Linked DNA regions of Alligator mississippiensis. The protein of the gene in region 1 purifies or fractionates together with the protein of each later gene. This does not show direct contact. Links are inferred from orthologs where the notes say so. Each region holds a gene or a part of one and is shown in the gene's direction. Other genes may lie near its edges.

The links.
Region 2: the proteins of protein argonaute-1 (region 1) and TNRC6A purify together in Homo sapiens (affinity purification with mass spectrometry; 10 studies listed by BioGRID and IntAct, with this or other methods). This does not show direct contact. The link is inferred for Alligator mississippiensis from reciprocal best matches to the Homo sapiens genes AGO1 and TNRC6A.
Region 3: the proteins of protein argonaute-1 (region 1) and TNRC6C purify together in Homo sapiens (affinity purification with mass spectrometry; 5 studies listed by BioGRID and IntAct, with this or other methods). This does not show direct contact. The link is inferred for Alligator mississippiensis from reciprocal best matches to the Homo sapiens genes AGO1 and TNRC6C.
Region 4: the proteins of protein argonaute-1 (region 1) and TARBP2 purify together in Homo sapiens (co-immunoprecipitation; 4 studies listed by BioGRID and IntAct, with this or other methods). This does not show direct contact. The link is inferred for Alligator mississippiensis from reciprocal best matches to the Homo sapiens genes AGO1 and TARBP2.

What each region holds. Positions count from the first base shown.
Region 1 is NC_081829.1:8,966,147-8,974,201, forward strand, and holds the start of protein argonaute-1, read left to right. Parts: upstream 1-4,896; 5' UTR 4,897-4,980; coding exon 4,981-5,005; intron 5,006-8,055.
Region 2 is NC_081836.1:58,591,797-58,598,939, forward strand, and holds the start of TNRC6A (trinucleotide repeat-containing gene 6A protein), read left to right. Parts: upstream 1-3,950; 5' UTR 3,951-4,097; coding exon 4,098-4,102; intron 4,103-4,223; coding exon 4,224-4,271; intron 4,272-7,143.
Region 3 is NC_081831.1:15,731,102-15,738,358, reverse strand, and holds the start of TNRC6C (trinucleotide repeat-containing gene 6C protein), read left to right. Parts: upstream 1-4,252; 5' UTR 4,253-4,329; intron 4,330-7,257. UniProt on the Homo sapiens protein: Plays a role in RNA-mediated gene silencing by micro-RNAs (miRNAs). Required for miRNA-dependent translational repression of complementary mRNAs by argonaute family proteins.
Region 4 is NC_081838.1:8,695,059-8,702,853, reverse strand, and holds the start of TARBP2 (RISC-loading complex subunit TARBP2), read left to right. Parts: upstream 1-4,629; 5' UTR 4,630-4,723; coding exon 4,724-4,782; intron 4,783-5,146; coding exon 5,147-5,316; intron 5,317-5,406; coding exon 5,407-5,512; intron 5,513-5,904; coding exon 5,905-5,988; intron 5,989-6,137; coding exon 6,138-6,312; intron 6,313-6,539; coding exon 6,540-6,657; intron 6,658-7,124; coding exon 7,125-7,252; intron 7,253-7,333; coding exon 7,334-7,526; intron 7,527-7,760; coding exon 7,761-7,795. Other genes in the region: pleckstrin homology domain-containing family A member 3, read right to left, coding at 736-791, 1,115-1,248, 1,482-1,525, 1,830-2,000, 2,287-2,423, 2,823-2,978, 3,236-3,352, 3,836-3,875. UniProt on the Homo sapiens protein: Required for formation of the RNA induced silencing complex (RISC). Component of the RISC loading complex (RLC), also known as the micro-RNA (miRNA) loading complex (miRLC), which is composed of DICER1, AGO2 and TARBP2.

The sequences.
Region 1 (8,055 bases):
TGGCTGCAGAGGGAAACTGGGTTCCAGCAGTGAGTTGCTATTGGGACAAAAGGGAACATGGCAACTGCAGAGAGCTGGAGACAGGACACATTGGAAGTAAGAACAACCATCTTCTCCAGGTTCTTCTGTCCTTTGAGGTCTTCCTTGAGGTATGACATGATCCAAACAGCTTGTATTTCATGGGTTTCTGCTTGCTGTCATCTTTACTATCATCACTGGAGTCTATGTAGCTTGGTTACCATGGTCCAAAGCAGGCTAAATCCATCAATCATTCCTCTGGATTTCCATCATCCCTGTTGCTCTTGCATGTAATTATAATCTATGGATCAGGTCCTCGGTAGTAAAATAAGCATTCCACAATTTGGCAGCAAATACCCCCAAAGCCTTCCTGGCAGTACAGGTAAAGGTAGGGACAATTCCAGTACAATCCCTTTTCCAATAATGGTTTCTACTATGGTAGGATTGGTAGAAATTGTACCTGAGAACTTAAATGACACAAACCCAACGTGACACCATGTCTGGTTAACTGAAACTTGATGATGTTGCTGGTGTCACCACTGCCCTTGGCTAATGCAGCTCTGTCTGGTATGATTACCCTTCAGAAGAGTGAACTTCTTTCTCCTTTAACAATATCAGTGCTAGGTCTGTTTGTGTAGGTGATTAAATCCTTTTAGAATGATACAGAACCTGGTACTCACACCATTTGTATTTGAAGTTGCCATAAGAGCAGCAGCTCTTATGGCTGGAGTCATAAGCATAAAATGGATTAGCAGCTTTGGCAACATATTTAATGGAACCACACTAAAGCTTATCTGTTTTAAAAGTTGGTCAGGTTCAAGGGTGATCTTTCACTGCTTAAGGGCAACAGAGGTGGTCCCCTCTTCTCTCCAATTAATCCTATGACTGGTGTTTCTGCACCTCTAACTACTGTCCCCCCACTTTGTCATATGCTCCCTACTCCAGCCAACAGGATTCCAGTCTTACCTCCTTGCTGGGAAACAGCAGCTCAAGGACTAGTTTTTCAGACTGCACCCAGCACAGCAATCATGGATCTGTAGTTTAAATAAAAGGCTAGATTGTCAACCATTAATCAGATTAGCGTCAATACTGGATCATTCTAGTTCAGCTGTCATCACAACACCAGTGATTTGAGGGTCAAATGTGTAGCTGAGGCTTCAATGGTTTGGGGATGCCCACCAGACTGGCCAAAGCATCATCACTTGATGAATTATTCCAGTCAGTCTCCTTTGTTCAGAGGGCTCCTTCTAGCTTTCCAAGTTGAAGTGGAAATGACTGGATCACTGATTATTGCTAACCCCCATTTCCTAAGACACCACTATCTGTGTGTTCATCTGTCCATCTATATTCAGAAAGAGTAGGCAAATCTTTTGAATAGAAAATGTTTTGACTTGGGGCTGCCTGAAATACAGAAGTCTGTTCTTCACCCTGCATGATACTGCTTCACTTCTTCCTTAAGCTGCAGAGGTCCATGCTCTTCCCCCTCTGTTGAAAGAATGTATTGGTTACTGGTACTGATTTCCATGAGGGTTAAACTGAGGAACAAGGGTGTATTACGGAGTCGGTGGTGGAGCCAGGAATGGAACTCCTAAGTCCTGACTCCCCACCCCTTGCTCCACTTATACCAAATTGCAATGACATATTTTCAATTAGTTTCTACCCATCTGAGGACTGACCTTGGAAGACATTTGTGAGCTATGAAGGTTCCTTTTCTAGTCACTGATAGCCAATGCAGTGGGGATCGACGAGATCCACTTCCACATAGTGATCCCTGGTAATGTCTCTGATGGCCAAGAGCTGCCAAATTGATAAAAATGCCAAAGCCCACAAAGATAAAGATACAGCTATAACTTCTGTCGTACAAAATAAGCTAATGCAGGGATGGTGGTATGCTGCCAAGGAGATGCTGAACACAACAGACCCTGCACCATAATTGTTACTTTATAAAAAAAGGTTCTAAGGCCCCATTTCTGCCATCTAGTATTGGTTGAGGGCAGGGTCTGCCTTGAACTCATGCTCCATCTACAGGAACAAGATTGCAGGATCAGGGCCTGAGACCGTGATGAGGTCAGGAGGAAGATGTCTCTGGTGGGAAAATGCTGCCATGATCAGCTCTCAGGGTTTCATTTCCCATAGTTTGACTCTCAGTAATTACATCAGCAATGGGTTCTGCATTTATGTGCAAGGCAGAGGAACAAGTGCACAGTTGTGAACACAAACACACATCACTCCCTGCACTGGCTCTTCAGATGCTGTTGCTGCTACCGGCTCCAAGGAACTTTCAGCACTGAGGTATGCTCAGAAATCCAACTGCAAGATAGCTTTCTCTTGCTGCTGGTGTGTAAATCACTGATCTGGGTAACTCCCATTAATCCAATCAGGAGTTTTCTCCATAAATCCTTCCTATGCAAATAGGAAAACAGGCCCTGACTACTGACCAGACTGCACTGAAATAGATTTCCTAGGAAGGTTGGGTCATCTGTTACTGAAACAAACATCTGTCCAGATGTTTTAAATGAAGCTGAGCCTGCCCTGGGATAGGAAGAGGGGTTAGAGCCCCTTGCAGCCCTATTTCCTATAATTCTAAAACTAGCTTGAAGCAAACAGACCTGTTCTGAGTATATTTTCCTTTGCTAAATTCCATGACCCATGATTTAAAACCAAGATGAACGCTGGTCCTTATTTTCAGTTATTTCCTGGGCTGCATTGAATTCACCTGAAATGATGCCAGCGAGCTCTGTGCTGCTTATGGTAAGGTCACACATAAGGTCATCATTCCAAATAACTCTGAAAAGTTATTTAGGGAGAGCTCATTTAATATTTTGGTGCAGAAACTGCCTTTGGCCAGTTGTGTTAATTCAAATCCAGACCAGCTTCTGGTTCTACTGGATCCTGCCATCTGTGACATGCAAATTTCATCATAAGTCTCTCAAGAGAGCATGTTATTCTTTTACATGCTTCTCAGTCCTGTCCTTTAACTGCAGGATAAGTGCTCCTTGCAATTTTAGATCACTTCGTGTTAAGGAAAATGAGTGATCACCATCCATACCAGTGCAAATCATGAAAGGCCACCTTAATCATCCAGCATGGTGCTACAGCAAACACCTTCTGCTTCTCATTTTTGTGACCCCTTTCCAACCTGGGCATCCTGGAAGTAAAGCCCTCAAGGGAACACAATACAAGCTATCACTGCAGCAGCCATGGAGACTGCTCAAGCTAGAGTGAGGAAGAGTGAACTGCATTTCTCCTTGTTTTAAAACCTGGTGAGGCCCTTAATGTAGATTCACCTCCGTTTCCCTGAGGGGAGGATTGCCATTTGACCTTCCTTTGCCTAAGGCACTGATACACCAGGTATCAATGTTCCCATGTGGGAACATCGGCATCCTTTTGCTTAGCTGGGTCCCTGTCATCTCTGGTTGGCAGTGCTTTGGTGGGATGGGAAGTGAATCGGTTCTGAAATGGGACGTGTGGCAGCTGAAGGCATCTAGTTAGATGCAGACACCAGAGTCTCAGGCCTGCAGTTAGACGGGGACCCCCCCTTCCACCCATAGCATCGGCTGCTATGCAAAGTCAGGACAGATTCACTTCCTAAAATGCACTGCTTGCAGCATCACAAGATACTCAAGTTTTCAGAGACCTTCGTCTGCCACAGCTTTATGACTGCAGTGCTCTTAGCCACGACACCAGCAAACGTGCCCCTGCTGTCCTACCAACCAAGGGGTCTGCCATGTGCCAACAAGGCGCATACCAAAAAACTGAATAAAAGCTGCAAATAAATAAGCACATCCCCTACTGTTCACTCAATGAACTGGCAGTGAAAATGAGTCTCAAAATAAAAAAAATCCTCTGCCAAACAGGCTATAATCCCCCTAGGAAATACAAACTGTTCCAGTTTCTGTGAGCTGACAGTGCTGTAGGGCATCTTAGTTACTATGGCAGTCATTTAATGGGTGGCTCGGTAACATGAGCATAAGGACATTTTGATCAGATGTCCCGGTCCCACCTGAAGAAACAGATTTGACCTAGAGATACGGGAAGGCGCTTCCACGTCCCCTGCAGATTCAACGTCACACGACTGCCTCCTCCCTTTGCGTTACTCTGCCCCGGCCTTCCTGCCGCAGCAACCATCGTTACAGCGGGATGGTAACGACCGGGGTGCTCGATGAGCCACTTAATGACTGCTTGTTTTCAGAGATGGACGACTTCCCCCGGGGGAAAATGTGTGCCTTGGGGCTCCGTCTCTCGCTCGCTCTCGAGCTAAAAGAAACGCCGCAGTCGTGGGATGTTTCCAGGCTGTCCCGAGCGTCCGGCGGGGGGGTTCAGCAGGCTTTCCCTCGAGCGCAGCTCCTCGCGGCGGTGGCCTGGGACATGTCCACATGCGAGCTCGCCGTGCGTGGATCTATCCGAGCTCACGCGAACCCTGAGGCGGGTTCGAGGCGAAGGGCTTTAGAAACACAACAGCATGCACGTCTCTCCATTTCTGACCCCACGCACAGAAAGACAGGAGGCCCACGGTGGTGCTGGGCAAGGGGGTGCAGCCAGGCATTAGTGTGGGAGCTGGCTGTTCTCTGCTTGCCCAGCTCAAGTTGACTGAGCAGGTTATTTGGGGATAACTGCCCAGGCAGCCTGTCCATACACTACACTGCATGCACTGCATGCACTGCACTACACTGCCAGAGCCCTGCAGCAGCTGCTCAGCCTCGCTCTGAGCCCAAGATGGCGGCGCGCGCTGAGGGGCCGCCCGCCAGGGGGCGCCTCCCCCGCCCCCGCCTTTGTTGGCGCCCGGGCCCGGCCCGGCCGGCGGCGCTGATTGGCTGCTTGGCCGCGCCTGCGCGCTGGGGCCCAGGCGTGGAGGAGGCTGCCTAGAGGCTGCGGCGGCAGCGGGAGGTGTCGGTGTGGCCGCCCCCGCCCCCGCCTCCGCCCCGCGCTCAGCCAGGCTCGGCCGCCGCCCGGGTGGATGGGATGGAAGCAGGACCCTCGGGAGCAGGTACCGCGCGAGGGCCCCGGGCACCGGGTGGGGAGTGCAGTGGGGCAGGGGGTGTAGTGCAGCGCGGTGTAGTGGGGTGCAGTATTATGCAGTGGGTCGGGGGGGTGGCGGTGCAGTGGGGTGGGAGTGCAGTGCTCTGTAGTGGGGTAGAGGGCGCCATGCAGCCGGGCAGTGCAGTGTAATGGGTAGGGGGCACGGTGCGGTTGCGAGTGCTGTGGGGTGGAGGTACACTGCATTGGGGTGGGGGGTGCAGTGGAGTCAGGGGTTGCAGCCGGAGATGCAGTGTAGTACAGTGTTCTCTAGTGGGTTAGGGGCACTATGCAGTGGGCAGTGCAGTGCAATGGGTAGGGGGTGCGGTGCGGTCGTGAGTGCTGTGGGGTGGGGGTACACTGCATTGGGGTGGGGGTGCAGTGGAGTAGGGGGTTGTAGTCGGAGATACAGTGTTCTGTGGTGGGTTAGGGGTGCCATGCCGTGGGCAGTGCAGTGCAATGGGTAGGGGGTGCGGTGCGGTCGTGAGTGCTGTGGGGTGGGGGTACACTGCATTGGGGTGGGGGTGCAGTGGAGTAGGGGCTTGTAGTAGGAGATGCAGTGACTTGGGGTGCAGGGTTATGCAGTGGGTTAGGGGTGCTGTGGGGTGGGGGTGCAGCAGTGAGTGGACTGTGTTGCAAGAGTGGGGTTTCTCCAGGGAGAGAGGGCTGCACTGGGGGGAGGATAGTGCAGGGGCTGTACCTGCTTCACCTGCTGCAGGAGGGGGTGCAGGATGTAGCTGGCCCAGCAAGGGGTTGCAGCTCTGCTGTGTGGGGTTAGAACATCTTCTAACCCCTAAACATTCTAACCCCTAGAACATCTTCTAACCCCTCTAAAAGGAGGGGTCCTTTAAGCTGCCTTCCCAGCTGGGAGTTTTGTGGTGCCCAGTGAGGGCTTCATGGGGTGCTGGGAACAGAGCTGGTTTTAGAGGAGGGGGCTGCTGACTAAGCAGGGAAGAAGACATTGTGCTATTTCATGAGGTGGGGAGGGGACCTGGGGGGCTTGGGCCCCTGTGAAGGGCAGTGCAGGAGTCAAACAGGAGGTGCGTGTCCTTGCTGAAGGCTGGGTGTACACACAAGTTCGACTGCCACAGTCCCGGACTGTCACAGGCTCTGTTATGGCACCAGACCTCTGAAGTGACTTGTTTTTCAAGGGGTGGCAAACCTATCTCGCCCCCCCCTGTTTCTTCCCTACCCAGCCTCTGTCTTTGTGTGCAAAGAAGATGCCTCGGGTAAGAGGTGGCAAAAAGAGCCTGGCCTGGAAGTGGGAACGATAACGCTCTCTTGTTAGGACACAAGGGCCAATTGCTGCTGCTTTCTGGTGACAGAATGAAGCGGTTTCTGTCTCTCTGAGGTTTGAGGCATGCGCAAAGCTGGGGGTTTCTCTGCATGCCTGACAGCTGGAGAGGGGAGGCAGGGACTGTTGCTAAAGAGATTCATCTCGGTACATCAACATTGTTCTCCCCCCAGCATGCCCAGTTAAACGGGAACAGCTAACAAATGGTCTCATCGTTGGCCTTTTTTCAGACACTCAATAATTCTTTTTAAAACTGCCCCCTCCAAACTTGACTTGGATTTCTCTTTCCGTACGGTTCTGCAGATCATTTAATTCTCTTTAATGCGGCATCTGCGAACAACTTGATCTCAAATGCAGTTCTGAGTTGTATCGTGTGGCTTGAAATAGAGGGAAGGGGTTGACAAGACCAGGGGGAGAGGGGGAGTCCTTGGCTTCCATTGGACTCGTGAAGCCAGGCTGAGCCTGATGCCTGTTAAAATGTGATTGCATGGGGTAAAGTAACTTTCACTTGGAAATACTAAAGTGTGAGTTGGTGTGCTGGTGCTGTAAGTGTGATGCAAGAACATCTTCAGCTGTGTCTGGACTGGGGAGAACGATGTGTCAGTTCTTAATACTAGCCTATTCATGTTCTGCCTGACATGACCTAGAAGTGAGTAGGAGTCTGGGTTTTCACTCCTGACTCCACCAGCAACTTGCTGTGTGGCTTATGGGTAAGTCGCTCCTCCTTTCTCTGCCTCCAGTTTCTTACCTGATAAAGAGGGGCAGGGCCGTACCTCCCATAGAGGTGCTTTGAGATGTGCTGAGGAAAATCTGTGTGTCAGGGTAGACCTGCATTCTTTTCTTCTGCTGAGCCTGTGTGTGATATAGCTGGGGCTGGGGTGAGTGGGGCCACGGCCCTTTCCCCTCCCCCCACACACTTACCTGTTTGGGCAGGGGGGCATCTATGCTGATCGCATAAGAGTGAACTTACCTCGCATATAACGAATTATAGGTCTAAATATGCTCATCGCATAAGAGCGAATTCGCATATAAAGAACCCGCATAAATCGAGGGGAAACCTTTAATGGCCGGGACTGGGATGGGGGTGGAGTGATGGTTAACATTAAAATCAAAGCAGGATCTTGTCCCTAGGGCCATCATGTCTTGTCTTGATCTGAAAGAGTGTCTTGTTTTGGGAGGTGGGATAGGTAATTCCAAACTGGCTATTGGTATAAACCCATGAACAGTTTGGTCTGGACATGTACCACGTTAACTGAACGGTAATGCCTGTTGGAGCAGTACCCTCTGGTTATCACAGTGCTGCAGTAACTTGGTGCCTAATGTACAGTGTGCCGTGGGCACCTTTGTGAAAACCTTACTGGGAGAAATGCGGTTCTCAGTGTTACTCTTATTGCTGTTGCAGTGGTAGACATGTCTCAGCTGCACTTGACCCCAGTGAGAAACCCCCTTGGCACCTCTCCAGGATTGTCTTGGAGGGGCCAGCTCTTTACAGTTTCTGCCAAGTTTGGAAGCTTCAAGCAATGTTGATGCAGTGTCAGAGACAATGGGCTTTGTGCACATCAGGCCTGCGTGGGTCACTGAGATTTTTTTTATTATTTATTTTTAAGGAAAAATGTTAGTGTCCCAGGCCAAATGAGCCAGATCAGTTCCAAATCATTAAAAAAAACCCAAACATTTTATGGCCCTACTACCAGCAAGTATCCTCCACCTCAGACTTTTCAGCCTGG
Region 2 (7,143 bases), on another chromosome or scaffold:
AGAAGTATTTCTCCTCGGGATCCACCTCTGCTCCGATGTCTGTAGAAAAATCATTCAATGACTGCTGACAAGGAAGGCTAGGTGGCAGAAATGGTTTCTATTTATAATGATATTTTAATTGAGCTGTATATACTTGGATTGCATCCCTTTCTCTCAGCAGTCATGTATCACCTGTTTCCTTGGGCATCCAGCGTATGAGCTCCTCCGCACAGGCCCATCCATGCGGAGTCTTCTCGTGCAAACGAACGTGTAGCTCTGAGCCCACAAGTATAATCTGGTAGGGGAAGGGAGGGTTTGCTTGGGGGTGTTTGCACATGGGGCCTCTGGGCACCACAGTAGTAAAATATACGTGTTAAATCATAATGTCAAATTCTTGCCATTATTTCTTTGTTTTGTTCTTTACTTCCACTTTCAGATTCTCACTGTGCCAATATTTTGGGCTGCAAACACAGCAAGATGTCATTGTTTGCCTAGGATAATATTTTCCAGTGGATTATTTAAGGTTCTTTTGGCCCGGTGTTTAGCAAATGATGCTTTTCCAAAACAAGGAATTGTAGGACCCAATTTAAATGGAGAAGCATGTTCATTGCAGGATATGTCACGGGTAATTCCTACCTGCCTAGTAAGACATATGGTCCCCATCATCAGAGTCTCTGAATACCTTACTTGGCCAATGAAAAATTGATGTGAATACCCATATGCCAATAAGAAAATTCTTCACTTTGGACCTGATTCGCTTGCTTTTTCACTCATTGCTTTGCATATCCTAGATTGGTGGTTTGAAACGTGTGATCTGTAATAAGCTGATTGGTGCTGCCTCTGGCACCGTATTAACATTCCTCCACGTTTAAAACTTCATAAATTGCACTTCCACAACAGTTAAAACTATACTAACTGCTCTCCTCATCCTAACGGACCATGTAAGCAATTGCTGAAGTTGCTGCAGGGGTAGTATCTAGCTGTGAGTGGGTGGGGAGGAATGGGGTGGTGTGGGGGGGGGGGTGTGAGAGAGAAATCATGAATACGAGGGGAAGTTTCTAGGAGACAGTTCTTGTATAGTCCGTAGCGTGCAACACCTGGCTTGGATGCTAATCTGATGCCTCAAAATAAAGCCATATCCACTGGAGGCAGAAACGGTCCGTTTGGATGTCTGGTCCATCCCCGGCTAAAGCCCTTTTGCTTCCTACAGCGTAATGTTTTCTACTGCTTGCACGATCTACATTTAAGAGTCCTACGGTTTTGGACTTCTGCGTCTTATCCTAGAGAGGTTGTTCCAAACAGACACAAATCCCCTGGTCTTTCCAAGGCTTTAATTATTCATTTGTTTGTTTACTCTTGTGAAGCCTAGTTACGCTTCTTGCTTTAGACTAAATAAATCCTCTTTTTTTGTGTTGAATGAATGCTTTGGTTAGAGGTAGGTGCCCCCATGCGGACACTGATTCGTTTCATTATTCATATTTTTTTTTCTCTCAAAAGTTAGCGCCTTTAGACCACCAGCTGTTTTTGTGCGCTTCCTTTCTAGTAAAGTGTTGTCAGAACTGAAACCAATAGTAGAGGTTTGGTTTCTTTCTGAACCTTGTCAAGAAGATTCACCAAGTTCGTGGGCTGCTGCCTTGAGAACTGCAAGTCTGCTTTGTGGCTGCACCCCCCCGGACGGCCGGTTTGCTGTCAGACGAGCTCTGTCTCGACGCTACTGTTTGCAAGGTCTCTTCATCCCATTATACCCCTTAAAACCCAGGCCTAGCTTCCTTTATGTCAAGTCATTAAGATCATAAGAACGGCCATTTACTGGGTCAGACCAGAGGTGCATCGTGCCCAGTCGGTGTCCCCTCCTGGTGCACCTTTGACCTCCGCTCCCGTCCCTGGTGTGTTTTTCATCGTCCCAAGCAATTCATAGCGGCCTTCCTTTTCAAGGGAGGCTCATAGCGTTTCTTAATGGGCAGTGTCCCGTGGTAAAGCAACAGATAGACCTGTGTCACGCAGCTCCGGCTGAGAGTCTGGCTGCGTTTCCCCCCACACCTTTCCTTTTATGTACTCCCCATGCATGGTCCCACCAAGCCGCGGGATCTCTCGGTCAACCTCCTCCTGGCTCTGGCCACGCTGGTCATCTGCAAGATGAGGAAGGAGGCTGGCCGGGAAGTGCCCGGGCGAGGATGGTGCTGTTGTCCTCTCCGTCCTCTGCCCACGTCACCGCCGGCTCCCTCGACTCGTTCAGCGGGGCAGCAGGTGCTAGGATTGCCAAGAAGTCTCTAAATCCCCAGGAGACGGCTGAGAGGCACCCAGGAGATAAATAATAGGGCATTCATTAATAAACATGAAATGTTAAATTCATTAGTAAAAATGAAATGTTGCATCCGACGTATACAATAGTCCAGTGGGTTTTGAAAATGTCGTAGAAATGTGCATTTGCCTTCCCGACGCAAAGTCTACGCGCCGTAGCCCACGGCCGATAGATGCCAACACGTGGGCACGTCCGTCGGCGTTACGGAAACCTCCTGGAACAGATTCAAAGGGAGTTGGCGCCCCGAGTGGGCGCTGGCTGGCGCGCTCTGCTCTGTGTCCCCCTCCGCATCCCTGGTTTTGAACCCGTAACCCTCGTTCCCGTTCTTGGTTTCTTTTTCATTCGTCCTAAGCAACCCGTCGTTGCGTTCTCAGCGGCCTCCCTCTTTAAGGGGGCTTCTAGACGTTCACGGTGGGCCGAGGCCCGCGTTCGCTGAGCATGCCAAGAAGCCCGTGTTGCACCGAAGGCTGGGGGGAGAGTGACCCGGTCTGAGCATGGTTTCCCCTGCTCCTCTCCCCCTTGCAACCTCTGACGCGGAGCCCCTGCCCCTCGCTCCCCGCTCGGCAGCGACCGATGCCCCTTTCCTCCCAGCACGTGCCCAAGCCAGGTTGGCCATCGTAGAGGACAGCGCGGTTGTCCTTTGTCCTCTCTTGAGACGAAACCCGATGCCTTTAGGTCCTCTGTTTTTCTCTTCAAGACAAAATGGCGCCGGGTTTTGTCTCAAGAGAGGACAGAGGAGCAGAAAACCAGCCTGTCGTCTTTGACGGCCGCCCTACCGCCATGTCGGTCTAAGGCAGCGGGCCCACGCCAGCTAGGTTGGCCGTCGTGGAGGAGAGTCTGGTTGTCCTCTCTTGATACGAAACCGGACACCTTTACTTCCTCTCTTGAAAAGAAGAGAGGACGTAAACACATTGGGTTTCGTAGCAAGAGAGGACAGAGGAGCAGAAAACCGGACTGTCGTCTACGATGGCCACCCTACCGTCGGGCGGCCACCACAGAGGACAGCCCAGTTGTCCTCGGTCCTCTGTTGATATGAAACCCGACGCCGTTATGTCTTCTGTTTTTGTCTTCAAGGGAAAAACAGGGGATGTAAAGGCATCAGGTTTCGTATCACGAGAGGAGCAGGAAACCGGCCTGTCCTCCATGATGGTTGCCTAACGTTGGGCGGCCGTCATCGAGGACAGGCCCGTTGTCCGATACGAAACCCGGCAGCTTTACATCCTCAACTTTTCTGCCCCAGACACAAACAGAGGACAGCGAGGCGTGGGGTTTCGTATCGACGGAGCCGCAGAACAGCGGCCGGTCCCGTACAACAGTTGCTGCCGGATGAGAGCGCTGACACCGTGCCCGGCAGCCTTCACCCCCGGGGCTTCATGGCGCGCTGTGCTCAGATGAATGACGGGGGAAGGCCGCTTTTCATTCTCCACGCATCGTGCGCCTATTTTGGGGTGCAATGGTGAACCTCGGGCCCAGGCGCCCCCGACCACCATGCTCTGTGGCGGTTGCTAGGGCGGTTGCCAGGGCGCCATGTTGGCTGTGGGGGTCCCGCTGCCCCGCGGGCCTGTGGCGGTTGCTAGGGCGGTTGTCAGGGCGCCATGTTGGCGGGAGGGGGAGGCGCCCCGGAAGTGCTGCCCGGGCGGGGGTTTCTCTTCCGGGGCGGCCGGGCCGGACCCGGCCAGGTTAGGAGGAGGCAGGAAATGGCGGCGTCGCTGCAGCAGCAGCTGCCGGGGCCTCCCGCTCCGCCGTGCCGGGCCCAGGCCGCCTAGGAGCCGCGGCCAGCGCCGGGCCCGGGCCGGACTCCGAGCACTTTACCTACATGAGGTGAGGTGCGGCGCGGCGGGGTGAGGGGGGCGGGCAGGCAGGCGGGCGGGGGCCCGACACCGACCGCCGTAACGACCGCCCGCCGTAACGACCGACCAACCGCCCGGCCTTTCTGTTGCAGAGAGTTGGAAGCCAAAGCTACCAAAGACGTGGGGAGAAAACTACGCAGGTAAGAAACAAACCGCCCTGCTCCCGGGCCCGGGGGCGAGCGTGTGCGTGAGTGCGTGTGCGTGCGTGTGTATTTGTGTGTGCGTGCGTGCGTGTCCACACAAGATGCCGACCGCGCCGTCACGGAGTATTCGTGTGTGTGTGTGCAAAGCAACAGACACGCGTGCACCCGAGTGCGAAGGGACGGCGTCGTCGAGCAGCTGTGCGGCGGCGCCGACCCCGCGGCCGTGTGTCGCTCCCGCGCGGTGGTGTCATGTCGCGCCGCGCCGGAGCAACGAGCGACCGCGCGGTCGGTGGAGACGGATTCACACGCGCGCGAGTCCGTCGCCCGTTTCTTTTTGGGGGTTTTTTTTCCTGGAGACCGGCTGCGATGTCTGCCTGGAATCGCAAGGTCACCGGTTGCAAAAAGGTTTAAAAGAAGGGAAGGCAGAAATCCCGGGTTTAGACGGATCGGGCTCGGTCGGCTGTGTAGTCGCTCTGCACACGCGCGTGTGCAAATCATTGGTGGGAAGGGGGGGGGGGCATGGGGTTCCTGCTCCGAGGAGGAGCCCCTGGGAAGACGCAGCGCTGCAGGTCGGCTCCCCCCAAACTTGTCCAGTCGACCCCGCCTTAACGTCGATGAACCAGCCTTTCCCACGAGCTTCGTACGAGCTCTCTGCTGTGAAGCAACCCGTCATCCTCTGTATCCAGGCATCGAGGCCACGATTCTGCCCGTGACCAGTGCTGGAGATGTGCTGGGAGGCCGAGGGCACGGGAGTTTCAATATTGATGACTTAGCATGTGACGCTAAGACGCCGACACCAGGGTTGTGTATATTGCTCTTGTGAAAAGGCACGTGCCAGGTGTCCTAGTAGGACGATGTTTTTGCAGATACCTGCAACTCTGCTATCACGTTGGCACTGTCTTTCACTATATTCAGTTTTTCCTTCTTTTGGTTTTCCTCCATGCCCTCTGTAGGGCTAGTTACGATGAAGGGAGTTGCGTTGGGGAGGACTGCCTGGTTCAAAACTTGGCAAAAACTCAAGGGCAGCTGCTAGGACCGTATTTTTCAGGTCCTGTTTTTTTGGGGGTCTAGTCTATTTTGAAGTTTAAGTTAGCTTTATAACAACACTGGAAATTGAAGTTTCCTGTCCCTTGAGTATATCTTTTTTTTTTTTGGTAGCACCATACTCAAGAGCTGGCCTTTTGTTTAACTGTTAAATGCTATTTTATTTGGGGTGGGGTTACAATAGAATTGAATTAAGGTGCAGTTTGTATAGAAGCCTGAAAATAAAGGTAATAGGATCCTTCAGAAAATACTTTAGGGTCATTTTCAAATTGAAGGGAACAATTCTTAATCGCAGCTTAAAAACCATTTGTCTGTATACAAAATTAAAGTACGCCTAGAAAGAATGTAAATAAACTAAAACATAAGCGTTCCCTTTATGGAAAGAATACCCAGTCTATATGGTGTTAAATATTTGCTGACACGCCTGGTTTGGCTGGAAGAGCAAAGTGTTGGTTGAAGATGCACTGAAATATAATTAGTCACCAAAATGTGAAAGTCCACCAGTGCATTAAGAGAATTGTCCTAATACTTTTTGGAAAGTTTTAATTCAAGTAGTTGCCCACATCCTCTGCAGTGTTTGAATTCAGTTGCCTTGGCATTGCACAAAACTTTCAGCAAGATCTCTTTTGAAGTGAAAAGAAAATGCAGCTTATAATTGTAAGATTGTGCCAGGAACTGCTTACAAAGCAAGAAGGTGGTGGGGGGGGACAATACCTGCATGGAGCGGAGAGGAGGAGGAGGAGCAGTCCTGGTGCCAAGAGTAGATTCTGCGATGGAGGAAAGCTGCTGCTGCTGCTGCTGCGTGTCACTCTTCTGAGGGCGCTGGCAGCAGCCAGGAGGGATGAGGAGCAGGGTCCTAGCACTTGGGAGAGGAGCATGAAGCTTTTGAATGAAGAACAACGGAACGAGCGGATTAGGAAGGAAATCATAGATGCCACTCCAGCCCCCCTCAAAGTCTCAACATTTCAGTAATAGCCATTCTGTTGTTAATAGTTGTCAGTTTTTTAATACTAATAGGCCACTTGTCCTGTTGCCAAGTAACTTGTAACTATCAGCAGTTTATTCCTGATGACTGTAACCCAGGGATTTGAAACTTCAAGTTCTCGATAAGGATCTTAATTTCCAATCTTCATCCTCTTCAGAACGTTCCATCTTAAGGAGCTAAATACTACATGCTAATATTCAGTTAAACATGGGCCCCCATCTTAATTGCAAACTGTAAGTGGTACCACGTTACAAATAATATCTCAGAAGCGTGACACCTTGTTTTGATAATGCTAGTGATATGGCGCACATGCTGGCACCTTCTACAGGGGAAAAATGTGAAAGATCAGTGCTTGCCAAACAGCAGTGATAGAGAAACTGAATTAAATTACAGCCTGCAAGGAGGTATTACAAAGAGCCAACAGTTTTAAATAATGAGGAATTGTTAATTTGTATATTTAAATAGCACTTACATTTTGGATTGCCTATACCGCCCTTTAAAATATTTCCTTATCAGTACTTTAGACTTGTATACAAAGCTTCTAAAATAAGATATACTTATGGTTCCTTATTTATTAGTGCTAGAACTTTTTGCACCTGGTAATATACAGGTCTTTCAAAGCAGCGTTCCCTTTAAGGCCTCCATATGTGTTTTGTTAAAATTTCCAAACAAACTTGTGTCTCGCATTGGTTCCCTGATGACCTCTGGTGAGGTATTTCAGTGACTTTTGGGGGGAAGGAGTAGGGAGAACTGTTTTTAAGTAAAATAAGGATTTCATATTCTTTTGGGAAGATAGCAATCATTTGTTTTGAAAGAGAAGTTGTGGGAAAAGGCACTTCT
Region 3 (7,257 bases), on another chromosome or scaffold:
TCATGATTCACTGGGGGACCAGGGACCTAGCTACTACATAACGACTTAACGAGCATCAATTAGCACCTACACAACCAGGCTAAGGAGAGGAAAGCATCAATACAGACAGTCAACTGCCCCAGGACAGAGACAGTCTCCGCATGAGTTTTGCCTGTCAGCAGCTAGAGGTGCAGGGCCCCAGAACCCCCCTGCACCCATCTCCTCAATAGCTGGCAGGTATCGTGGCCACAGCAGGGGCCACCATCCCTGCAGCTGTCACCTCGCTGCGCCTTAACACACCCAGTGTCACCCATGTCACGAGTTTTGCTTGTCCGCAACTTGAGGTGTAGTTCCCCCCAAACCCCTGCACCAATCTCCTTGAAACTTGGCAGGCTTTGTGGCCTCCATAAGAGCTACTATACCTGCAGTTTTGACCCCTCTGTGTTGTAACACACAGCCGTGACAGGAGTTTGGCTTTCAAGAATTTGGGGTACAGTTCCCCCCAAACTGCTTCACTGATCTTGAAGTTTGGCAGATTTTATGCTCTCAGCAGAGGCTACAATCCCTGAATGTTTCATCCAAATTGGACAACAAACAACAAAGTTATAGATATTTCATTGATTCCCCATTATACCCTATGGCCAGATCTCCAAGGTGGCTCTTGGCCCAATCAAGGTGGAAACGCGGTCCAGAGCTCCGGATCAGATCGTGGCCACCCGAAGCGGCTGGGTCCAAAGCCGGATCAGATCGCTGCCGACTTGCACAGGCCTACTGTATTTTAAAGCCCTTACAAAGCCACCCACCAGGTACATAAAGAGCATAGAGGCAGCTACAACAGTTAATGGGCTCATCTACGTGAGATGCTAAAAGCCCATTGGACTAATTCTACTGTGCATTAGTGCAGCTGGCAAAAACTGTGCTAATGCGCAGTAGATTAGTCCAATGGGCATTAAGTGTCACACAAAATGCCAGTTACAGTGCATTTAGTACCTGTTATTCTAGACACTAAAATTAATGTGCCATAATTACAGTGCATTAATGAATGTGTAGACACACAGGTGTATTCCAAAATAGTACCTTGAGCATCAGCACTTGATTTCTGGAGGGAATAAAAGTTGGACAGGGCGCTCAAGAAAATATGTTATTCTTGATCCTCTTTGGAAAGTTTCATGGGATCTAACTTCAGCTGGATTTTGGTAGATGGGATCTCAATTTAACATCATTAAATTGAGCATCTGTTATGACTGTAATCAGTACAGAAACTCAAGTGGTAGTTGGGCTGTATGGTAGGTGTTAGCTGTAAAGATGGGTTGGCAGGACAGCTGTTAATGTTTTGGAATGGATGGGGTCAGAAAGCAGATATCATGCCTCAAATCATTAACCAGAATAATTTAATGGGTCTAAACCTCAATCAAGTGGCAGCACCTGCAAAAAAAAGAGGCCTTGAAGGTCAGGCTTCAGGAACTGTGTGTCAATCTGAAAGACTTTAACAAGGACATAAAGGAGATGAATTGAGAAGGAAAAGAGGAGATCTCTATACATGGCTACAGTAGTTACAAATTCAGTATGAGGTTGGCACTAGTTGTATAAACCCTGCATAATCCATAGAGGTGCAAGGATTAAGAGTCAAAGAAGGAAACCCCCTTTCCCTGTAATATTATCCTAGCTGTGAAGACTGGAGGTCAATTGTCCCAGGTGAAGCTATTTGAAGCAGCCTAGCAGGAAGGGAAATCTGCTGGGTTGAGTAATTGTCATCCTGTATAAAAGAAAGAAGAAAAAAAGAGGTAAGGAATTGCTTTGAAGAGCCTGTTGTATTGGGGTGAATATGTCTCTCTTTCTTTCTTTCTTTCTTGTAAAAGTAAGTTGAGTTGGTTTCCAATAAAGCTGGTATTGCTGGGTAATTTTGTGGTGGCTTTGGTATAGGAAAGGAGATTGAAAATAAGGGGGGGGGGGGTTCCCCCCCACTTCATCTAATTTTACTTCATTTTCCCCCTTTACAGATCATGTAAAAAATATACTGGTAAATCTGATGCAAAAATAAAAGAAGAAAATAGAGACTAAAGAGAATAAGAGTGTTATAAACCAGCTTTGAATCTTTCTACATTTCCACTGCGAAAGACCCATTACATAGTTAAGCTACAGTATAGATGGGGCCAAACTATACCTTGTTAACTAAAATAATGCCATAAACATGTCTTGGTTCTAGTTAGCATGGGTTAAAAATCCCGGTTATGTTTCCTTGTGGGAAGCTCTGAAGGAAAAAATTCTTGCCTGCTTGCTTGGGAGTGTGGGGAGGGATCTAGTATTTAAACGAGAAATGGAAACAGAATTCTTAAGCTTCTTCTAAAACTCTTTCGTTTCTAAAGTTGTTGGTTTTTTTTTCTTGTTGAAAAACTAGAAACCAGCCAATAAAAACGTTTCAGACTAAGATTGTCTTGCCAAAATTAAATACTGTCTGATTTGGCAAAAATGCTTTGATGGGAACACTTGACCATTTCTAACTCCAGGGCTGTGACTAAGGCCTGAACTTATTGGTTGAGTTCCCTCCTCCCTGCCCTGTCTTTTTTGTTCGTCTCTCCTAGAACCAAACCTTTATTCGTTTTCTCAACGCAGTCTTCTTTCCCATTACCTAAAGGTCTTTGCTTCTCTTGAAAGTTCCAGCATTTCTAGCTAGCGGGCGTTTTCTTATTTTACAACCAATATAGAAGTGGTGTTTCTCATTAGTCAATGAGCTGACCAGCATGCCTATACGGGGGGGGGGGGAAGGCACTTCAGAATACGTTTGTAGTTTTGAGTCTCAAAACCATATATTCCATCTGAAGTCGGTGACAACTGAGAGCTCGCAGCAGCTCTTGAATTTGAGTCCCTACTCTCCCACTCACATCAAAACTGGCACTGAGCATGTAAACCAGCATGGGGACTGTAACAAAGTGCAACCGTCATTTTAAAAGCAGTTACAAACCTAGCATAGCTGACTCCCAAATGCAGCCCTACAAAAATGGAGCTTTTAAATGCGTAGTCCCCAGAGGGATGCTGGAAACTGAACTGGGTGGGAAGTATGTTTGGATAGGGGCTTGTGAACAAGCTCCCTTTTCTCTGAGTAGAGTTAGAGACCAGGGAAGAGTCCAGACGGGAAAGTCATGTCTCCCTAGCTTTCTCAGCTGAAGGATCGGGCTGGGGTTGTGAGCCCAGGATATAATAGCCTCTGCTCTGCTCTCTAGGATGCATCTCATAGCTCATTCACTTTTATTTCAACATTTACGTTGCTGGAGCCACCAGCTCTGGCCATTTGAAAGGGAACTGTGGAGTTGGATGAAGCCAAGCTTGGATCGACACGAGAAGCCTTAGGCATCGCAACATTTTCAGCCTTGTCTGGAGGCAACATCCTCCGCTTAATGGTATTCCTAATTTTCCTGCCTGTTGGGTAGGAGCAGCCAATTTGTCCCACAGGTGCCAAAAGCCCAGTCTGAGGTGGCTGCACCAAAGGCCATAATGGATGAATTGCTGGGCTGAGGGGAAGCCAGAACAAACTAAAATTTGGAGGTTTGATTTGGCATCAAAGCTGAAATCCCCCTGCCCCCAGAAGGCATTCTGGATAATCAGCATAGTTTGATTTTTATTTAATTTAATTTAATTTTATTATTACTATTATTTTTACCTGGGTCTTCCAGGGAGAGCCCCTAAAACATAGTATTGCCCAAAGTCACCTTACTCTGTCTAGCACTGCTGAAACTCTCCTGTGCTGGCAGGGAGAGCTAAACTCCAAAATGGCAGACTGAAATGCCTAAAGCAATGTCCCTCACTCAAATACACGAGAGGGAGTGTGAGACTGCCCCTTGGCTTTTGACCTAGTCCCTTGAACTTGGGGGTCTGGTTCATGATATATGAAGCTGGCTGCTTAGCCTAAGCAAACTAAAGGAACTAGCCCAGGGCAGGACTGATCGATGTAAACTGACCTTTTTCTTACGTACCTGATTGCAAGTTCAGTCTGGCATTGATTCCACAATGCCGTTCCCTGAAGATAAGCTCCCTGAGCTACAAAATAGAGTCTATCCTTTGTTTTCTGCTGCCACCCTCCAGACCTCGCATACAGTAATAATAGCTCTCCTGTATTACTTAGGAGGAGGCTTAAGAAGCAGGTGAATTGAAGGGTTTGGAGCCCTGGGAGGGGAAATTCTTGGGAGTTTGTTGCAGATCCCTGAAGTAGCTGGAGCTGTGGGAATAGATTTGATAACAAAGGGTATCCAAGGACAGATGGTGCAAGGCTGAGGAGACACAAGTAATCAAGTCTCAGGAGAGAGTTAAGGAACAAACAGAAGAAAAGAAGAGATCCCAGGCTTTGAAGAGAGGGTGAGCTTATACCTGAGGGTTACCTTTCACTAAGTTTTCTGTGAGCCTTGAGGGGGACTGTGGACCACAAAGGGCAAGGACCAGCTGTCGGGGATGTTGTATACATTTGTTTGCCATGGAAGAGCTGGATTTTTTTCCCCTCCCTCATTTTGCCAAAATTACCTGCTCATCCTGGTGAAAAATGGAGAGTGGCTGCTGCTTTGGTAATGGAAATAGATGGGTTATTAATATTGTAGGAAGGGTTTTGCAGATTCACAAAACATGGATAGAAAAGACTTAAATCTACCCTCAGACTAATGCAATTTTTTTCTTCCTCAAATATTAGCAGAGCACGCTGTCTAGTGTTTGTTCAGTTAAACATAAGCAGTAAGTCTGTAAATGTTGGGGGGAGGGGGTTGATGTCTTGTCTTCATTTTCCCTTATTTAAGCATATCCCTTCAGTCTTCATTACACCAACCTGTACCCCTCTAAATGGGTCCTTTGCATCTTTAGGTGTTGCATGCTGCGAGCATATTCCCTTCAAGCACTGTCAATCAGAAAGCAGTGCCTGTTTAATAAAATAATGCATTGCACACAGTAAACTTCCGTGTCTCATGTCTCATAACACAGCTATGAGGTAGGCACTGGGTTACCATATTCCACTGTCCAGGATCCTGAGGGAAGATAGAAAAGTGATTTGTCTAAAGCCATACATAAAATATGTGATAGAGGAATAAAACCCAGGATTTCATATCATGCTCATCATCACTGTAATATTTGAACACATTCTAGTAGCATATTAAGTGATGTGGCTAGCATGTCGCATGTGGTTCATCTCTGTCTCTTCTCGCCCCGCCTTGTCCCCCCAAGGGGAAGCATTATGTGCATAGTACGGTAGTTTGTTTTGGTAGGCTATTGGTTTGGGGTTTTTTTGTAAAATGCAGACACTGCTCTGTCTGCACTAGAGAAAGCAGCTTGAAGAAGTGTGCCTTGCACTTAGAATGGGAAGGGATGAAGTTTCTCTCCTTTTGTCGTGTACCCATTCCTCTAATCATTTTCTTTACCAGTCCTTTCTTCTCTTTCCGATTGCTCTCTTTTGAGATTAAAAAAAAGAAAGCTGTGGTTATTCAAAGTGGAAAACCTTGAAAATAAGAGCGTTTTCAATGAGCATTTAAAAGTTAGCAGAGAGGTTTTTAAAAATCTTTGTTCTTGAAGGAAAGCATTTGTTTGCAAAGCAGATTGGCAGTCCTGTTTTGTTCTGGATGTAAACTGCTTGGTATATAATCTGAATTTAACAGTTACCAATTAACAGGAAGATTGGTACAATAGCAAGGGCAATCACACAGCCAGGGTGGGATTTTATTTTAAAGGTGAGTTTAAGAAAACAAACCCAACATTTTAAAATGTGTTGAAGAAATTGAGAGTAAATGATGTTATATTTATAACACCCTACAGCTGAGTGCTAAAGAGTATATTTGGTGAGAAAGCGAAAACATCACAAGCAACAAAGTCAACTACTGGTAGCATTCAGTACAACTGCAGCACTTGACTACATAGGGAGGATGAAAGGGGACTATGAGCCTGATAGAAGAGACTTGAGGATGGGATGCATAAGGAGGATAGCATTCCAGGGAGCTGGAGAAACAAGAGGAAAAGCAAAATATTTAGAAAAAATGTTGGAGAAATGAATTTTATTAAAAAAATGAGAAGTTGGTAGGAGTAGAAAATGCTGAAGTAAGAACAGTCTGATCAGGATAATAGTGGGGAAAGCAAGGTCCAAAATGTGCTGTCAATATTTATGGTTCTTTGACTTCTGACATTAAATAATTCTCAACAATTAAAGAAGGACTTAAAGAGTATTTGCAAAACAGGTCACTGTAACATATATTTTGCAAGTATAGTTGCACATAGTTCCATAATCCAAAACGTAAGGTGAGAGAACAATGTGGCAACATCTACCAGAAGTGGGGCAAAGTGAGATACTTGGGCCATGTCATCTGGAACAAACTGAGTGGCCAACGCCAGTAGGATGTCAAGAGCTCCTTCTAGTGCTATGGTGTGACTACATCAAGCCTTCAGCTGTGTACACCCGAGTTCAAAGTTTCCTTAAGATCACAAGGAAAAAAATAAGTTGCAGAGAAGGGCTTAGAACTGGACTAGATGGGGATGCAAAAGACTCACTATTGTTGGGGATTGGCAAAGTACCAGCGGGGCCACTGCTGGCATGGTGGTATAGGAATAGAGCTCTTTAGTAGTAATATCCAGGTGCTGGGCGGCTTTGGTGTAGCTTTGCAGGGCTGAGCATGTATGAGTAGGGCTGCGCGCAAATGGGAGCGGGTGCAGGACCTGCCTATATCACATTTTACACTTGCCTCCGTGATTCAACCTAAGCAACACATTCACTTAAACATTATTTGAAACGTTTTTTCCTCTCCAAGCCCTAACCATCCATTATAATTGGTCATTCCTTCTTCTCCTTTGATTAATGACATTTGAGTGAGAGGGTGGAGAATATACTTTGAAGTTATACACAGAGCTTTGATTTTTTTTTTTTTTAATGGTTTAATATTTTGGCTCATGCCACATGCAAGCAATCTCCGTATGCAAAACAAAATGCTCCCCAGCGCTGGCTCCTTTGAGCATGTCCTGTTAACTTCCTACGAGCAAAACCCTTTTGAACAGCCATTTCGGCATGTGTGAAATTGATTTCATATCCACCCTTCTCAGTGAAAGAAAATGGCGGCACAGAGCTGTGGGCTTTACAAGCTCCTCTTTCTTTCTCTCTCTCTTTATTTTTGAGATATCTTATTCTCACCGCTTGTCTCAGCTGTACAAGACAGATGACTTTAAATCTCTCTGATGCTGTGTCTGGTGCCTGCAGGTTAGCCACACTGACTTAACATGCAGTTTCGACTCTGTACCTTCTGGTGAGAAAAACAATAGGAAACA
Region 4 (7,795 bases), on another chromosome or scaffold:
ACCAGGATGCACAGGTGGGTCCCCTGCTGTAGCTGCAGGCACCGTGGGGCTGGGAGGAGCTGTCCCTTCCCAGCAGCCTTTGCCACACAGGCACCATCCTCCATGCAGGTTGGCACTTCCCTGCCTGCAGTGGTCCCTATACCCTGGGTGGGGGGTGCTGGTTGGAAGTAGGCTGCAGCAACTGGGCCCCACCCTATGGTGCTTTGTGGGGGGCAGGGGGCACCAGGCTAGCTCTTGTGGGGACCCCAGGGTGGCAGAGCTGGGGGCAGGGGCAAGGAATGCAGAGGGTGCCCCCAGCTGCTCCAAGGTGGGCTCTCACAGGGGTCCAGCCCTGCTCCGGCAGGCAAGGGGAGTCGTTTCTATGAGCTGCCTGCGCTCCTCCCCCCGCCGCCTGGGGCATGTTGGGCGCCTTGGGGGCCCCATGCCGGTGCCAGAGGGCAACCGCAGCCAGCTCAGGCCTCTGCATCGCGGTGCGGGTCCAGGCTGGGCAGGGAGCAGCATTTGGGCACCAGACCCAGCTGTGCCCCCAAGACCCGGGTTGCAGGGCCTGCCCAGGCTCAGGCACTGAGCTGGTGCCCACTGTCCCGACCGCTCTGGCACACACACAGAGTCCTTTTCTTGCTCGAGGCAGCCCCTGGCACTGCCCCAGGCACTGAGGGGAGAGGCAGGTCACCAGTCTGCCATAGCGGCAGGGGGGTAGTGGCCAAGAGCAGCCCCATGGTCCTCAGCAGGGGCTCACGGCCGCTTGGCTTCACCATCCGCTGATGTCTCCTGCGCTGGCAGTGGAGCTTCTGGGAAGGCAAGGCGAGGGGTTAGGGAGACCCATGTGCTGGAGGGCTGGCACAGCCCCTCCCCCCACGCCTCCAGCAGGTCACCATCCTAGGGGAAACCGAGGCATGGAGAGACCTTGCCCACAGCCTCGAAGCAGGTTGGCAGCCCAGCCAGGCATGGACCCCAGGAGTCCTGGCTCCCTGCTCCCTTCCTGGCCATGGGGTTGGAGACAGCTAAGCGTGTCCCGGGGGCAGCTATGCCCAGGGGGGAGGGTTGCAGGGCCCCCCAGTTCCCAAGACTGGGTCAGAAACCAGCTGGTCCAGGGCCCACGCCTGGGGCCTACCTCCCCACTCCTTGGCGCTAGGGCCTGGGGGGGTCCCAGGCTGAGCACGGAGTGGCACCATCTCCTCCAGGCTGCGCAGCACCGTCATGGTGCCCCGGGCCGGCGCGGCCCGGGCCCGAGCTGGCTCCAGCACCCTGCAGGAGGGGGCATGTCAGCTGGGCATAGGGTACAAAGCTCTGGGGTGCCCCATGCCCCCCCCCTTGTCCGAGGGGTCAGGAGCTCAAGACAGGGCTCTTCTCCCTTCTCTGGGCATGCCCAGACCAGCTGGCTCCTGGGGGTTGCCACTGGATGCCTCGCAGCCCTCCTATACCCCACCTTGCCCACAGCTGCCCACTTGGGGACCCCCCTCCTCCAGCCCAGTTCTCACCTGTCGGGCGACGCGACGCCTGTGTGGCTGAGGGACCGCCGTACCTGTGGAGACAGCAGGAGCCCATCAGCACCCTGGACCAGAGCCAATGGGAGGTGGAAGCTGCCCAGCCCCCGGTTCGAATCCAGGCCCCACCCCCAGACCCTCCTCAATAGCTGCTGGGAGACTTCTGTCCTGCAGGGCAGGTAGAGAGACCTCCATAACTCCCCCAGACGCCCAGGAAGCAAAGCATGCTGGGTAACCAGGTGGGCCACTGCTTGGCCCAGTACCCACAAGGGCTGTGCCCCAACTGCACCCTGCTCCCAGCAGCCCAGCACCCCCGACTACCCCCGGGGGGGCTGCTCTTACCCTGTGGGAGTGCGGGAGCTTGGTACCCACGAAGTCAGAGGGCAGGGGGGCGGGCGAGGGCGGGTACAGCTCGGGGGCCAGGCGGGCATTGGCGAACTTCATACACTCCTCCAGCGTGGACAGGAACTGGCTGCAGGTGGCGCGGAGCAGGGAGGAGGCTTCGTTCATCCTCTGGAGGACAGAGCTCATCACAGAGAGGAACCCGACCCCCCAACCCAGCCTCTCGTTCACAGGGAAACTGAGGCACAGGGCAGGGGAGCCTGCTTGCCTCAGGTAACTGCTTCCAAGAGCAAAGGAGGGATAGATGCCACCCGCCCCCCGCCAAACTCCTGCTTTAGCCACTATACTCCACTCCCCTGCCAGACACTGCTTAGGTGGTTGGACCTAGCCTCTGCCAGCACCCCGACAGAGCAAGTGGCGGCAGGTACGCTGCCCCCACCCCTCTCCCCCCGGGCACCTCGACATCCAGCGGGGCGCCGTCGTCTCGGGGCCGCGTGGACTCCTGCATGTCCAGCACCTGCTGGGTCAGCGCGTCACAGTACAGCCGCAGCTCTGACAGCTTCCGGCCCAGCGACTCGGTGCTCAGGGGCGGGTCTGGAAGGTGATGGACACAGTGAGCCTGGCCCCTGCCCCCTCCCGCAGAGCGTGTAGGGGCAGAGATGCACCCACTTCTGGGGTGGAACATTCCAACCTGTAGCAATGGGTGCATTACAGGAGGGGACGGGAAGTGGGTAGAAATGGTCCTGGGGAGGGCCGGGGAGGGGGGCAGCTCAGCCCCACATTGAGGAAAGTGGAAGGGGCTCATCAGACATCAATGATGGAGCTTGCAGCACAATGCCCCCTGCTGCTGCGCTGCGGTACTGCAGCCAGGCACCCCCAACCCCCTTTGCCCCATACTGCAGCCCCCCCCCAAAAAGACCCAAGGGGGAGGCACCAAGTGCGTGTCCCCACCCTGCCTCAGTTTCCCCCTGTGCTATTCCAGCCCGGCCCTACCTTTCTCCTTCTGGCCCCTGCTGTCTCCCAGGCAGGCCTTGGAGCTGCCCAGGGCCACCAGCCACTTCTGCCGCTCAGCAGCGCCTCCCGCCTTCAGGTAGAAGTACTGCTCGCCGGGGATGGTCAGCTCCATGCGCGTGGCGTCCGTGGGGTGCACTGCGGGGCACAAGGCGGCACCGGGGGTCAGGGCTCCCGTCCCAGTGCCGACAGGCGGCTCAAGCAAGGGACAGGACGGGATGCCTGGGGCCCCGCGCGGCCTCCAGACCCAGCTCAGCACTTCTGCACTCCGGGTGCGGCTGGGTCTGGGGGGGAACGTGGCAGCCCGAGGAGACCCCGTGCCATGACGGTCCCCTCCTGCAGTGGGAATGGCTGGAGCAGGGGCAGGGGGGGGGGGTCCCCAGGCTTGCACCCACCTTTGATCTCGCAGACGGCCATCTTGATGCTGCCCTTGCTGCCTTTGCCCACGTCGTCCTGCGAGTCATAGTAGGACAGGATGCCGTTGTCCAGCACGAAGTACCGCGGCTGCCAGCCTGGGGGAGGAAGGAGGCAGAGGAGGGTCGTGCCCCGGTGCAGGGAGCCCAGGCGCCTCCTCGCTACCTGGGGGGCAGCCCCAGTCCCACGGGGGACCCCGGCCCCGAGGTCACACCCCGCTGGGGAAGGAGCACCGGAGCCCCGCCTGGTTTCTGGGTGGGGGCAGGGCTCAAAGGTCAGGGGTCAGCTGTCCTGGTGCCGCTGGGGGTAGTGGGGTAGAAGTCAAAGCTCAGGGAAGAGGAGGGGGCAAGCAGGACAACTGCAGGGGGGGTAGTAGGGCTCAAAAGGTCACAGGTCAGGACTGGTTGGGGGCATTGTGTTCTGATCGGGGTCAAAGGTCAGCAGAGTACTATAGCCTCGCTCCCTTCCAGGGACCGGGGTCAAGGGTCAAAGGTCAGGGCCGCCTGGGGGATGTTGCGGAGGGCGGGGCAGAGGTCAAAGGGCGGGGGCAGGCGCGGGGGCTGCCGGGACGGCGGCGGTACCGGACAGGTAGTTGGTCCATTTCAAGAGCGCTCCCTCCATCGCAGGCGCAGGACGCGGCCCAGGCGCCGCCGCGCGCCCGGCCAATCCCCGCGCGGGGAGGGGGCGGGCCCCACTGCTGCCGGCCAATGAGAAGGGCGGCAGGCGCAGGGGGCGAGGCCCGAAGGGGTACGCACCCAATCAGCGGGCCAAGCCGGGCACCAGGAGGCAAGAGCAGGGGGCGGGGAAGAGTGGTCGCGCGCAGCCAATGGCAAGGCTCCGCCTCCATCGCCCCGCCCCTTGCACGCAAAGACCTGTGGGAGGCGTAGTCCCGACCCCATTCGGCTCTCTCGAGAAAGCCGCAATCCCGACATCCTCCGGCCGCGCGGGGCATTGTGGGCAACGCAGTCCTCCCAGCAGGCCCCACGGCGCGCGGGGGGTTGTGGGTAGGGAAGTCCCGCGGCCCCGGAGCCTGCCGTTCCCAGGATCCACCGGGGCGGCGCGCGCGGAGCTCTCTGGGTAGCGCAGTCGCACGTGCTCCTCAGCCAAGCCGCGCGGGGCATGCCGGGAGCGCAGCCCAACGTTCCCTCAGGCTGAGCGGAACTCCCGCTCCCAGGATGCCCCGCGGCCGCGCAAAGAAGCCCCTGTAGAGCTCCCCCCTCCCCCCCAGCCAATGGTCGCGCGGCCCTCCCCGTCCCAGCATGCCGCGCGGCGGCGGGCTCGGGCGCGGGGCATGCCGGGCAGGCGAGTCCACCCGGCGCGAGGAGGCCTCGCTGTCCCAGCCTGCCCCGCGCTCGCCCCCGCCAGGGCCCCCGCAGCCATTGCGGCGGCGGCGCGCGCTGGCGGGGGCGGCGGCGGGGCCGGCGGGGTGCGGGGCAGGCACGGCGGCGCGGGCGGGGCCGGCGGGGGGAATGAGCGAGGGCGAGGAGGAGGAGGAGCCCCGCGCCACCGCCAGCGGCGCCTGCCCCAGGTACGGGGGCGGGGCCTAGCCTCGGGGGCGGGGCTTCCTCCGAGGCGGGGCCTCACGTGGGCGGGGCGTCATCGGGGGCGGGGCCTGGGCTGCTCCCGGGATGAGGTTGCCGGGGCTTCTTCCGGGGGGCGGAGCTTCTCTGGAGGGGCGGGGCTTCTCTGGGGGGCGTGACTGCATCCACGATGAAGGCAAGGCTTTCCAAGGGGGCGGGGTCAGAACATGGGGGCGGGGCTTAACTCTTGGTGGGGGGCGGGGAGCACAGTGGGGCAGCCCCCTTGCTCTGCTGGGGCAGGATCGGGCCTCCCCTGGGGCTGCTGGGGTGGGGGAGGATCTTGCCCCCGGCCGACCCCTCCGCGCCCCGCAGCCTAGAGCAGATGCTGGCCTCCAACCCGGGGAAGACGCCCATCAGCCTCCTGCAGGAGTATGGGACGCGCATAGGCAAGACGCCCGTGTACGACCTGCTGAAGGCGGAGGGGCAGGCGCACCAGCCCAACTTCACCTTCCGCGTCACCGTGGGCGACATTGGCTGCACCGGTCAGTGCCCCCCCCACCCCGCCTGGCGGGGTCCGGCTGGGACCCCGGTGTCCCGGTGCCGGCCCCGCTCCAGCTCTGTGCCCCCCGCAGGTCAGGGCCCCAGCAAGAAGGCAGCCAAGCACAAGGCGGCGGAGGTGGCCCTCAAGCTCCTGAAAGGGGGGAACATGCTGGAGCCGGCGGTGCCGGAGGAGCCCAGGTGAGGGGTCTGCGGGGGGGCGGGGGCTGCTCTGACCCCCCCCTCCCAGCACCTTCCACCCAGCCGGGGGGGAGGGGGGGAGGAAGATCAGGGGGTCTTGGGGAGGGGCAAGAAGCCGACCGTCCAGGACACCTGGGTCTCTGCCCCCAGGGGGCAGCTCGGGTGGGTCCTTTCTCTGCCCCGTGCCTCGCTTTCCCCAGCTGCGGTGCTGGGACGTGGGGGTGGAGGAGCTGGGCAGAGTCCCGGGTGCCAGCGGGCTTTGCCTCAGCCCGTACTCCTAGCACCAGGGTGGGTCGGGGTGGGGTCCTGGTGCCATCGCGCCAGGTGAGGGCAAGCTGTGGGGGGGCAGGGGTCGCCGCCTGCTTTAATGATTGTACCTTTTATTTTCGAAGCTCTGCTTTCTCCCTAGAGCCCCTCCCCCCGCTGGACCCTGCCGTGGCCCCCCCCGCGCCCGCCCTGCCCGCTGCCTCGCCCAGGTAAGGGCTGCCCTGGGGTTGGCACTGAGCCCCTCCGCACTCTCAGGGGTGGAGTAAGGGCGTTGCAGGGACTAAACCTGCCCCCCCCCAGCTCCACGGGGCCGGGTCTCCCCCCCACTACTACTTGGGCTTCCTTGGGTCTGTCATAGGGGCTCATCCCCCACCCCTGCAGCAGCCCCTTGCCGGGATCGGGGTGAAGGGCCTGCCCGGGCAGGTTGGGCCCCTTCAGCGCCTGCCCTTGTCTCGCTCAGAAGCTCCCCGCTGGAGATGAAGGCACCCGTGTCACCCCAGCAGTCCGAGTGTAACCCTGTGGGTGCCTTGCAGGTAGGCTGGGGGGGAGGCTGCTGGGGTTCCTCATCCCCTTGGGCTCCTTGTTCCAGCCTGGCCTAGGCAATGTCTCCTACCTGGATGGAGTATGGTCTCTCAGGTGGAGCTGGAGGACAGGAGGTCTTTGTGCTTCAGTTTGCCCTACCTGCTCTGCTTGGAGGCCGGTGGGGCTGGGGGAGTCCCAGGGAGGGGCCCACTTACCCCACCCACATCCCTGCCCCCAGGAGCTGGTGGTGCAGAAGGGCTGGCGCCTGCCCGAGTACACGGTGACGCAGGAGTCGGGGCCGGCGCACCGCAAGGAGTTCACCATGACCTGCCGCGTCGAGCGCTTCATGGAGATCGGTAACCCCAGGCAGGGGGGCGGGGGCCGGCTTGGCCTCAGACCAGTGACACGCAGCCCCTGGTGTTAACAGAGCTCACCAGGGGCCTGTGGGCACTGACCCCATGCCCTCCTGCTGCCCCTCACTTCCGACCCACAGCCCCCCCAGCCCTGGCGGTGACCCTCACTCCTGACCCGCTGCCCTCTGCCCCCACCGGCCCTGCTGGTGCCCTTCCCTCCTGACCTGCAGCCCCTGACACCCCCCTGCCAATGCCCCTTACTCTTCACTCCCAAACTGCAGCCTCCTGCCTCTGCCAGTGCCCCTCATTCACCACCCACAGCCCCTTGCTCCTCCCTCCCCACAGCTCCCTGCCCCCCAGCCCTGCCGATGCCCCTCACTCCGGCCTTCTCTGCGCGCTGTACCAGAGTTAACCCTGCATTGCCAGGTGCGCAGCAGCGACATTATACCCCACCTTCCTCAACCTTGCAGGGAGCGGCACCTCCAAGAAGCTGGCCAAGAGGAACGCAGCCGCCAAGATGCTGGTGCGGATCCACAATGTGCCCATGGAGCAGCGCGAGGGCAGTGAGGCCGAAGCCGAGGACGACCAGTTCTCCATCGTGAGTGCAGGGCTGGGGTGCATGGGGTAGTGGGTGGGGATGGGCATGCAGCTCACACTCCCCTCTTTCTACCTGTGCCAGGCGCCAGTGCCCAAGCTGGACGGGCTACGTGGCCGCCTACCCGGCTGCACCTGGGACTCCCTGCGCAACTCAGTGGGCGAGAAGATCCTGCACCTGCGCAGCCAGCCGCTGGGCGCTCTCAGCCCCGGGTACTGCGGGCTGCTGCAGGAGCTGTCCGAGGAGCAGAGCTTTGCCATCAGCTACCTGGACATTGGTGAGGTTTCCCCCCTGCACCCTCCCAGCCCCAACCCCAGGACCCTTTCTTCCCTCCCACCAACCCCCTCTGGGCTGTGTCTCCATCCCTGCCCCTAGCACTAGCTCCTGGGTCCCTTCTCCTAAGTCCCATCCCCCGTAGAGCAGGGCCCTCCCCAGCCCAGTGTGGTCCCAGCCGCTCTAGATCTCTGCCCTTCTCAATGCCCCTGACCCTGACCCCTGCTTCTCCCCACAGCCGAGCAGAGCCTGAGCGGCCTGTACCAGTGCCTG